Linked DNA regions of Arabidopsis thaliana. The protein of the gene in region 1 interacts with the protein of each later gene in a pairwise test. Each region holds a gene or a part of one and is shown in the gene's direction. Other genes may lie near its edges.

Region 1 (5,377 bases):
TACCGCCATTGCAGACAATACCATTCCATGAAGAAGGACAACCATTGAAGTCAATAGACTCATCGTTCCATGAATTAAGGACAAACCCTGTAGGGTCATGTTTGATGCCTTTCTTGAATTCAAGCAATGCCATGATGTCCTGTGATGGAAGTTGCCCCATTGCAGATAGAAAAAACATGGAGAGTAACAAAATCCTAGAAAGATTCATCCTTCCTTGACTTCAAATCTTTTCCCCCAAAAAGCTACAGTTTTTGAAGAATCCCAACAACTTTTCCAGCTCACCAACGCAGAAAATTCATGGAACCCCAAGTAAATCTGACATAAAACATAATGAAATAAGACAAAACCCATCAATGTTACCAAAAAAAAGTTTAAATCTTTCTGCAAAAATCAACAATACCAGAAATTTCACTCTGATAAAAAAAAAAACAGAAGCTAAAGAAAGAAACTTTACCTAAGATGAACAAATCTTCTGAGAAACCCCAATCAAACAAAATGCAGTAATGCTACTGAGTGAGAAGAGACAATCTTCACTCAAAGGGAATCAGCTGAAAAAAACATTAAATGAACAAATGGGCTATTCAATATTTGGGTCCCATTCCGAGATCTAACCTAACTCCAAAGCAAAGAGATAAATGAAAAGTGAGGATTTTTAAACTTACGGGGATGAAAAAAGCTTCTCACTGCAAGAACAATGTCGACAGAGTTGAAGAAGAAGGAAGACAAAAACTTTAAAGCAGAATCATTTTGTTCATTAGCTCATGAACTGCACGGGGTTTTGGATTAAGCTCAACAGTGTTGTAGACTGAGTCACTGAGCTAACTGAGGGAAATCTTTGTGGGTCACTTTAAAAATTAAAAACCCTTAAAAGATTGTCACTGTTTAAGAACAAAAGAAAGAAGCCAAAACAAAATTAAAGATAGAGAAAATGTTTTGCTAGTTTTCACGTTCGACAGTGACGAACGACAAGGACCTTGTAAAAGGGTAAGTCTTGAAGCGTGTGAACGGACACCAAATCAAAAACCCTAAATAAAAAGTAAAATAGCAAGAAATTATTTTCATGGGTTCACGAGAAGAAAATTATATATTAATTTACTTTTTCATAGTCTTTTCAGTGAGGAAAGATTTAAAATATAGTTTAATTACCCGCCTGGAATGGCCCGGGAAAGGAATCCAAAAAAAATGAAAAAAGCTACTTACACTAATGTTTTTAGTGAGTGTGACCATGGTGGACGTGAAAGGGTTTATCCAATATGGTTATGAGTCTATGTCCTTGCCTTTAGTGAGAGAGATTTACAGCATTGGGAAAATAAGCGAAAATTGCGCAGTGTTCTAATAAATTTTGGTAGAAACTTGCAATAAATGAATTTACATAAATAAATAATAGGGAAAATAAAAAGAGTAATGAGAGTTCGGAGTGAATGTTATTTACACCAAAATACAGATATTAAAAGCTTGCAAGGAAAATGTGTAGTAAATGAAACATGATTTTTTGAACAATCCAGAAAAAATAGTAATGAATATTCGGACAAATAAATATTTTTGAAGTTGATACCACATTAATTAGTAGGAAAATGTAGAAGCGAAATAAATACCGCGTAGGAAAATGGGTCCCACATGCTGACTACGTTGACTAGGGAAGACCGGAAGAGACAAGGGCATCAGACCAATTATTTGGGTTCTACTGATAATGTTGAAAGTAAATGTCCGGGTTCAGAATAAATTAATAGTTAAGGGGTCATAATTCAAAAAACAAAAATCTGAGTGTTTTGATGAGATTACACACTTACGTCTAAAACTCACTCTCATTTGCTAATTGTTAACTTGCTCTGAGTTTGAAGAAATTCATCAATGGCGATTCGCAGAGCGCAAACTCTACTTTGTCTTTCTAAATTCAAAACCAATTTCGTGTCTGGGTCGCTCCACCGGTTCTCTTCTTCGTCTCAAAATTCAAATCAATTCCAGGTTCTGCTTTTTAAATTGTCTTCATGATCAGAAAACATAATCTCTTTTCCTCATAAGTCACCTAGAATTTTATTGAAACGTTCTAAAACATGATCCTTAAGGTAGTTGGAATAAAAGATCTTAACTTTTGTAATCTCGAGCATAGTTAATAAGAATTTTAGTGGCCAAATTGCTTATTGATCTTGACCACTTATCTAAATTCATCAGTTCTGCAAAAAAAGTTGTCTGGATTAGATTTTTAACAGCAAAATTTGTCTGATTCAGTACCCAAAATTTATGTAAATGAAGTCTCATTTTTGCTGTTTTGTCAGAATGTTGGTTTCATAGGACTTGGAAATATGGGATTCAGAATGGTGAATAATCTAATTAGAGCTGGATATAAAGTTACCGTTCATGACATGTAATGTACTTTGAGTGCGTTTTGCTGCCTATCAATTTTCATATTTGGTTAATGTTGATTCCTTTGATTAACTTTCTTGTGCATATACTTGTGTTTGAATTTTCAGAAACCGTGATGTTATGAAAATGTTCACTGAAATGGGAGTCTCTTCTAGAGAAACTCCTTATGAAGTTGCACAAGATAGCGAAGTTGTGATTACAATGTTGCCTTCATCATCTCATGTAAGTTATTTACCTTTAGCAATAGTTTTATATGAAAACAGTTTGAAAGATCGTCCTGTTAGCTGTATGATTAGCTGCACCTAGTCTACGAGATAGTATTGTTGTTTACTCCTGGTACTGAAAGAATGTTAATCTTCAATTGATTGGATGATTTTTATGAAGGAAAAAAAATTGTGATTGATGTAGGTGATGGATGTGTACACAGGAACAAATGGGTTGCTTCTTGGAGAAAATGATATAAGACCTGCTTTGTTTATAGATTCATCCACTATTGATCCACAAACAACTCGAAAAATCTCACTTGCTGTTTCTAATTGTAATTTGAAAGAAAAGAGAGGTAAAGCTTAGATAGGATTTGGAAGGAAGTTAGTTTCTTCTTATGAGTTAACAACAGCTTCATTTTGTTCTTCTTGTGAACAAGTCGAGATTGTTTCATTTTCACTAGTTTCAAGCATCTTTGATGTAGATAATTGGGAAAAGCCAGTCATGTTGGATGCTCCCGTCTCTGGAGGTGTTCTTGCTGCAGAAGCTGGTACACTTACTTTCATGGTATGTTGACGACTCTCTTATCTTCTACATTATTTGAATCACATCCTTTATATAACATCAAGTTTGAAGATTATGTGTGCTTGTATACCTACAAGAGCACAATGGCATTGATACAACTGCACGTTCTGTAGGTTGGAGGTCCCGAAGATGCTTACTTAGCCGCTAGACCAATACTTCAGTCAATGGGCAGAACCTCCATCTACTGTGGTGGTTCAGGAAATGGATCTGTAAGTTCGCTTTATACCATGTTTCCGTAACTCTGTTACAGTATCTCTATTATCTTGATCTTTGGTATATTTGTCTCTACAATTCTTAAGGATAATAGACTGAGAAACGACATGTTTTGTTTTAAACTTAGGCCGCAAAGATTTGTAACAATCTGGCAATGGCCGTGAGTATGCTCGGCACTTCAGAAGCCTTAGCTCTTGGTCAGTCACTTGGAATATCTGCCAGTACTTTAACAGAAGTCTTAAACACATCTAGTGGCCGTTGTTGGAGCAGGTAAGTAAATGAAATGACCTCTTCAAATTTATAATCGTCTTCTCATCAAGAGCAAGCACACCAAATTCTTAACTTCCTTTCCTTATATTATGATAACCGCAGTGACGCATACAATCCAGTTCCAGGAGTGATGAAAGGTGTGCCATCTTCAAGGGATTACAATGGCGGTTTCGCCTCCAAACTTATGGTCAGTTTCTTAAGAAATCTCTATATCATTGATCCTGTAAAATGTCTCTAAAGCACATTTCTTTTGTTACACAAGTCTTTCATGTATATAGTGTATTGGAAATGCAGGCTAAAGACCTAAACCTCGCAGCAGCCTCAGCTGAAGAAGTTGGACACAAAAGCCCATTGATATCCAAAGCACAAGAAATGTGAGTACTTCAGTAGTCTTTTCTCCTAGAAGCTCTATTCCTTATGAGTTGTTGTGAACAAAGAAGGCTTGTGAATGAAACTTTATGGAAACAACGTAGAAATTTCTTATGAAGCAAAAAGCACACACATCAAGCTGAAGATTTTGTTTTTTTGTTTTTGCAGTTACAAGAAGATGTGCGAGGAAGGACATGAAACGAAGGACTTCTCTTGTGTTTTCAGACACTTTTACAATGGGAAAGATGAGGTCTGAGACAATCTTAACAACGACCCTGCAAAATAACCGGTTTCTTTGTGCATTTAGATTGTTGATTTTCATTGCTAAGAATAATAAAAGTCTTGGAAAGGCTGTGATGTTAATAAGCGATGTGAATTGTAATTAGTTTGAGAACATCTCTCTGGTGTTGAACATTACTCTTGGAATCACCAATCAATTAGTTATGAGGTCAGCGAAGAATAAAGCATGAAGGATCCTATAGAGAGGATTAAACAAAGCTCAGAGTCAAAGTTCTAAACTTTTCTTTTACCCGGAAAAAAGTCAACAACAATTCAAACAATAGTCACCTATGGTGTAATTACATTTCTTAACAGTGTTACTCGCTAACCAATCCGTAAATATACCATTTTCCTTATCTATATTCGTATTTAATTTGATTATTAATCATTCTTGGCTATTTACCTAAAGTTAATGAAGATTCACCTTCGTCACCAATGAGAGAACCAAACCATTTTTGCAGAATCTCCGGTACAATTACGGAAACAGTTGTTTGTGTTAATATCTACAATGTGAAATGACTACAACCACCCTCGCTTTCTTCAGCACACCGCTACATTTGAAATCTCCCAACTTTTTTCATTCTCTCTGTTGCTCAAACTAGTTTCCCTCAACACTCAAAGGTACGTCTTTGATCCTTCTTCTTGTGTTTCGCTTCGTTACTTATGGGTTCTTTCTGAAATTCGACTTCATCACACCATCATTTCTGTTTATGACAATTCGTTCCTCGTAATGTTACTTCAACCTCTACCTGTTTTTCTGCTTCATTCGCGCGAAAAATCGTTGCTTTTGACTCATGTTCCTCTGTTTCATCTTACTGTTGTCTGTCTTAAAACCTGAAGTCTCCGAATTTAGGTCATCATCTTGTATCTCTTTCAAAAACCCTAGTTTTTTGGGGTTCTGTGCAGTGAGCAGCCGTACAGTTTGCACTGAAGTTACCATCTTTCATGATCTTTGAAGTATCTATATGAATCATAGATAGTTCTTTTGTTTGTCTCAGTGTAGAAAGAAGCCTCAGTGAGTTTGTAATGGCGGGTGAGGAGAAGCAGACTCTTACTCCAAAGGAGATGATACTTCAGAAGTTTGGTGTTAAAG
Region 2 (4,445 bases), 2.8 Mb from region 1:
ATTTAGGTTGGCCACGATCGTGTGATCGAAGATCATCTTCGTTATGTCTTAGTATCCTGGATCTCTTTAGAAATGGAAAATAATAGTCAATATGACTGATGTGACTTGAAATAATAATTAGTTACTTGAATTCCTTAATGATATTTTGTAAGTTAGAGGGTTTTTTCCCTAGTCCATCTACGAAAGCTTAAGAAAAGGTTTTGCTGCATGTGCCTGTTGTTCTACAAGCATATTAAACATTCTTGTCTGTAATCTTGCATCAGAAGCCCAGCTGAAACAAGTGAGCTCGTTGGGCAAATGACGATATTCTATAGTGGAAAAGTGAATGTGTATGATGGAATACCACCTGAAAAGGTAAATCAATAACATTATTCTGTCCAGTCTGAAAATAGAAATTTTGTTGGCATGTTTTTGATCATTCATCCTTTGTATTGGTTTGCAGGCCCGGTCAATCATGCACTTTGCAGCCAATCCAATTGATTTGCCTGAAAACGGTATTTTTGCTTCCAGTAGAATGATTTCAAAGCTCATAAGTAAAGGTAAGCTTTTGCTAAAGTGTCTGATCTGTTTTTCAGTTGATAGATAGATGATTCAAACATGAAATGATTTTGTTTTGTGTATCATCAAACTGGAAAAAGTTCATGGACCAGCTTTTCTGACGCAGTAGAGCTTTTTTATTTATTTTCTCTTCTTGCAAACACTGCTTTTGTTTTGTCCAACTTTGAAAGGAGGCATGGGTAGTTGACCAAGGAAGTATGTCTAAATGTTGCATTGTGCTATACTACCTTGCGTAAAATATCCAAATGCCTCTTGCATGTTTTTGTGATAGTGATTCCACTTTCCTTCTTCAGAGTCTAGTTTGAATTAGTCAAAAATCAAATTGAAAATGTGAAATCTTATTGCAGAGAAGATGATGGAACTTCCCCAAAAAGGCCTTGAGAAGGCGAATTCTTCTCGTGATTCTGGTATGAACAGTATTCATATTACCTTAATGATTCTCGGAGCGAAACTTGATCAACACATCTTCACCTGTGCAAAGCTATGCTAATGTTGTTAACTTGGAGGAAACTTGGCTTGCTTGTTGTTCTGCATGTTATATGACCTGTGAAGTTTATTAATCTAACCGTCGTTCTATGTTTTTTGGGTCGTTCTTAAGGTATGGAGGGCCAGGCGAACAGAAAGGTATCTTTGCAAAGATATCGTGAAAAGCGGAAAGACAGGTGCATTTATATACTTACGCTTATTCCAAAATCGCTATAAACTGATATGTTTTCGTAATGTGCAGAAAATTCTCAAAGGCCAAAAAGTGTCCAGGAGTTGCGTCCTCTAGCTTGGAGATGTTTCTGAATTGTCAGCCACGGATGAAAGCTGCATATTCGCAAAACCTAGGCTGCACCGGATCTCCACTGCATAGCCAGTCACCTGAAAGCCAGACAAAAAGTCCCAATCTTTCAGTTGATCTAAACAGTGAAGGTAAGAAGAGAATCATATATAAAGCTTTGTTAAATCAGTGGTTTGGATGATTTCCCTCATAACTCTCCTCGCTTGGTCTCCAGGCATTTAACAAGATACCGAAACGTGGAGATGCTATAAGCTGTGAATAGGCGTTGAAACAGTTGCTTGCTTGTAAGCTCAAAGATATGAAGAAAAGAAACCTCTCTTCGGATCGGCCTTCTTTTGTGTTTCCGGGGTTTTGCACCCATAATTTTTGGTCTATAGTTTTGAGTAGAGCTTAGTAGGTTAGTGGTAATTTCTTGTTTCTGATTCTTTTTGTGAGGATATAGTCACAGAGAGTAGAGACAAGAGAGGTGAAAGAAGGGCTTTCATTTTCTAGGTGTTGTAATGTGTAAATGATGTCTTACTTGACACTTTTAACGAGAGAGACCTTTTAGCCAAAGTGTTTCTTACTCTCGACTCGAGTCTTACTTTGACACCACCAAACTTCTCTTCTTTTGTCCATTTTTAACCCAGTTTTTAACTTTTAACTTTGTTAACTTTTTTACAATAATTACCACTCTAACTAACGTATTTACATTTTCTCAAACCTCAAAAATGTGATAAATAGTCTGAAACGGATATATGTGGAGGCGGCATTTCCCTCGCCGCACGCCGGCGGATGGAGGGTAGTTTAGTCTTTTAACCTTTTTCTCTGTTTTTGTCCCAAAAGATAAAACGAAAATGACTTCTTTTGAAAAGGAGAGAAGGCATATATCGCGTGGATTTGAAGACGAAGAGGAATCATAAAAAGCCTAACGAAGAAGACGAAGAAGAAGAGGAACAAACAACCATGGGTGAAGTGGTTAAGGTAATCGTAAATCTCTTGCTTCTGATTCTGATTTCGTGAAAGCTCATCGGAAAATTTCTTGTTTCAGCTATGAAAACATGAATCGCCGCCGATTGTTAATTAAGTGGTCTTCAATCACTGATCACTATTCCAATTTTGATTTTTGTTTTATTTTAATCATCAAATTTGATGTTTTCTAGTTTCACTTGTTGTGTATGAAATTCAGGCTTTGTCTTGGAGGTTGCAATCGAAAATTTCACTAATTGCTGAACGTTTTTTGTTTCTCTTTCAAGCTTAGCATCATAAATTTATGTTTTCTTGTTGTGTTTGTGTATGTGTGTTTTTGCTTAGGATGGAAGAGAAGAAGTGATCCAGGCATGGTATATGGATGATAGCGAAGAGGATCAGAGACTTCCTCACCACAAGGATCCTAAGGAGTTTCTATCTTTGGACAAACTTGCAGGTCTCTTTGTGTGTTTCAATTCAGTGTTCTTCTCTCTGTTTCTCTATTTGTTTCAGATGTAATGTTTGTGTGCAGAGCTGGGAGTACTTAGCTGGAGACTTGATGCTGATAACTATGAAACCGATGAGGATTTGAAAAAGATCCGCGAATCTCGTGGTTACTCTTACATGGTTTGTTTATATAGACTTGAATGCTAGATGTTTACTTTTGAACAAGTCTTGTTTTAACTCTCTAGGGTTTTACTCAATTGTAACACTTACTCTACTGAATGTATTTAGGAAAATTCGTTGATGATTTGCAAATTGTTTTATGTGCTTGAGTCTTGGTTTGATGATGGAAAAGTGTTCAAAATGCAGGACTTTTGTGAGGTATGCCCGGAAAAGCTTCCAAACTATGAAGTGAAAGTGAAGAGCTTTTTCGAAGAACATTTGCACACTGATGAAGAGATCCGTTACTGCGTTGCAGGAAGCGGTAAGTACTTTTATTGGCTGCTTTACTTGATTTAAGTCGGTATCTATATTCTCAACGTTTCATTTTCTTGGGAAAAGGTTACTTTGATGTGAGGGATCGCAATGAAGCTTGGATTAGAGTATGGGTAAAGAAGGGAGGTATGATAGTCTTACCTGCTGGAATATATCATCGCTTCACCGTAGACTCAGACAACTATATCAAGGTGCAATGTTAGCTTCTTCAGAGTGGTTAATTCATCATATATATATTTGGTTGATTAGAAAATTGAAATATCTTGTTGAGCAGGCAATGCGGCTTTTCGTGGGTGAACCGGTCTGGACACCATACAATCGCCCACACGACCACCTCCCTGCAAGGTACAATGTTCTGTTTTCCCCTTTTGTCTCATCAAAAACTTACTCTGCAAAAGTTCATCCAAGAAAAGACACGAGAAAAGCTGTTTATGGATATCGAAACGGCTATTTTACAGGAAAGAGTACATCGATAATTTCGTGAAGGTGAATGAAGGTGGTGTCATAGACGCGTCAGCCTAGAGGATTCTCAGTCTTATGCATCAGATTTCTATAAACTAAGCATACAATAAAGAGAGCTTTCTGTCTCATGTTGGATATTATGTCATCTACAGATCCACTTGTGAAGAAACTTTGATTCGTGTGGCTTTGGCATTATGGTTGTGTTGTAACTGTATTTATAGTTTATACTCCAGAAATCAAACTGTGTTACATTATCAATCTCTCCAAAGTTTTCCTTAAACTAGCAAAAAATCACAAGTAATTGGCCAACCATGGAAGATCCTTATTGTCTTTCAATGCAAAAGCAACATCATCACTTGGAAAATTAAGCTGCAGCTTCTGCAATCTGTGCTTCTCTCCAGGTTCACAAAGAACGATTCTGCATTCACCAAGATCACAACCGATTTTGAGAAGAATGTCCCAACCGGGAAAAGCTTCACCATTGGTTAAGCAAATAGACGATACTGTTGTTGCTACTCTGTCAAAGCTTGTCTCTGCCATTCCTGTTTTGTAAAGCTCATGAACCATAGCCGTCAAGAAGATCCTACTCAGTTTCGATACACTCTTCATAACTTGAATATGAGGTGCCTGAAACATCTCTTGAATGGCTACTTCAACATCTGCCATAATCACCAGCTGACTCTTTGCAGATATGTTACTCTTCTTTAGACGGTAATCCGCTACTTCCGCTGCACGCCTGCATATCTCAAGCGCG

The links. Proteins that work in one complex are often made in the same cells at the same time.
Region 2: the proteins of AT4G20930 (region 1) and ATARD2 interact in a two-hybrid assay, tested with the Arabidopsis thaliana proteins (one large-scale study listed by BioGRID).

What each region holds. Positions count from the first base shown.
Region 1 is NC_003075.7:11,197,511-11,202,887, reverse strand, and holds AT4G20930 (6-phosphogluconate dehydrogenase family protein), read left to right. Parts: upstream 1-1,781; 5' UTR 1,782-1,851; coding exon 1,852-1,965; intron 1,966-2,276; coding exon 2,277-2,365; intron 2,366-2,471; coding exon 2,472-2,586; intron 2,587-2,772; coding exon 2,773-2,923; intron 2,924-3,052; coding exon 3,053-3,135; intron 3,136-3,266; coding exon 3,267-3,362; intron 3,363-3,493; coding exon 3,494-3,636; intron 3,637-3,738; coding exon 3,739-3,823; intron 3,824-3,930; coding exon 3,931-4,010; intron 4,011-4,173; coding exon 4,174-4,261; 3' UTR 4,262-4,637; downstream 4,638-5,377. Other genes in the region: GHR1 (Leucine-rich receptor-like protein kinase family protein), read right to left, coding at 1-160; AT4G20920 (double-stranded RNA-binding domain (DsRBD)-containing protein), read left to right, coding at 5,311-5,377.
Region 2 is NC_003075.7:8,424,203-8,428,647, reverse strand, and holds ATARD2 (RmlC-like cupins superfamily protein), read left to right. Parts: upstream 1-2,176; 5' UTR 2,177-2,287; coding exon of another isoform or gene 2,288-2,305; exon of another isoform or gene 2,306-2,372; 5' UTR 2,373-2,473; coding exon 2,474-2,497; exon of another isoform or gene 2,498-2,635; coding exon 2,636-2,747; intron 2,748-2,822; coding exon 2,823-2,917; intron 2,918-3,103; coding exon 3,104-3,218; intron 3,219-3,295; coding exon 3,296-3,420; intron 3,421-3,500; coding exon of another isoform or gene 3,501-3,503; coding exon 3,504-3,574; intron 3,575-3,687; coding exon 3,688-3,751; 3' UTR 3,752-3,945; downstream 3,946-4,445. Other genes in the region: PPD1 (TIFY domain/Divergent CCT motif family protein), read left to right, coding at 264-354, 443-539, 906-965, 1,157-1,220, 1,286-1,473, 1,557-1,564; ORC1A (origin recognition complex 1), read right to left, coding at 3,983-4,445. UniProt on the Arabidopsis thaliana protein: Catalyzes 2 different reactions between oxygen and the acireductone 1,2-dihydroxy-3-keto-5-methylthiopentene (DHK-MTPene) depending upon the metal bound in the active site.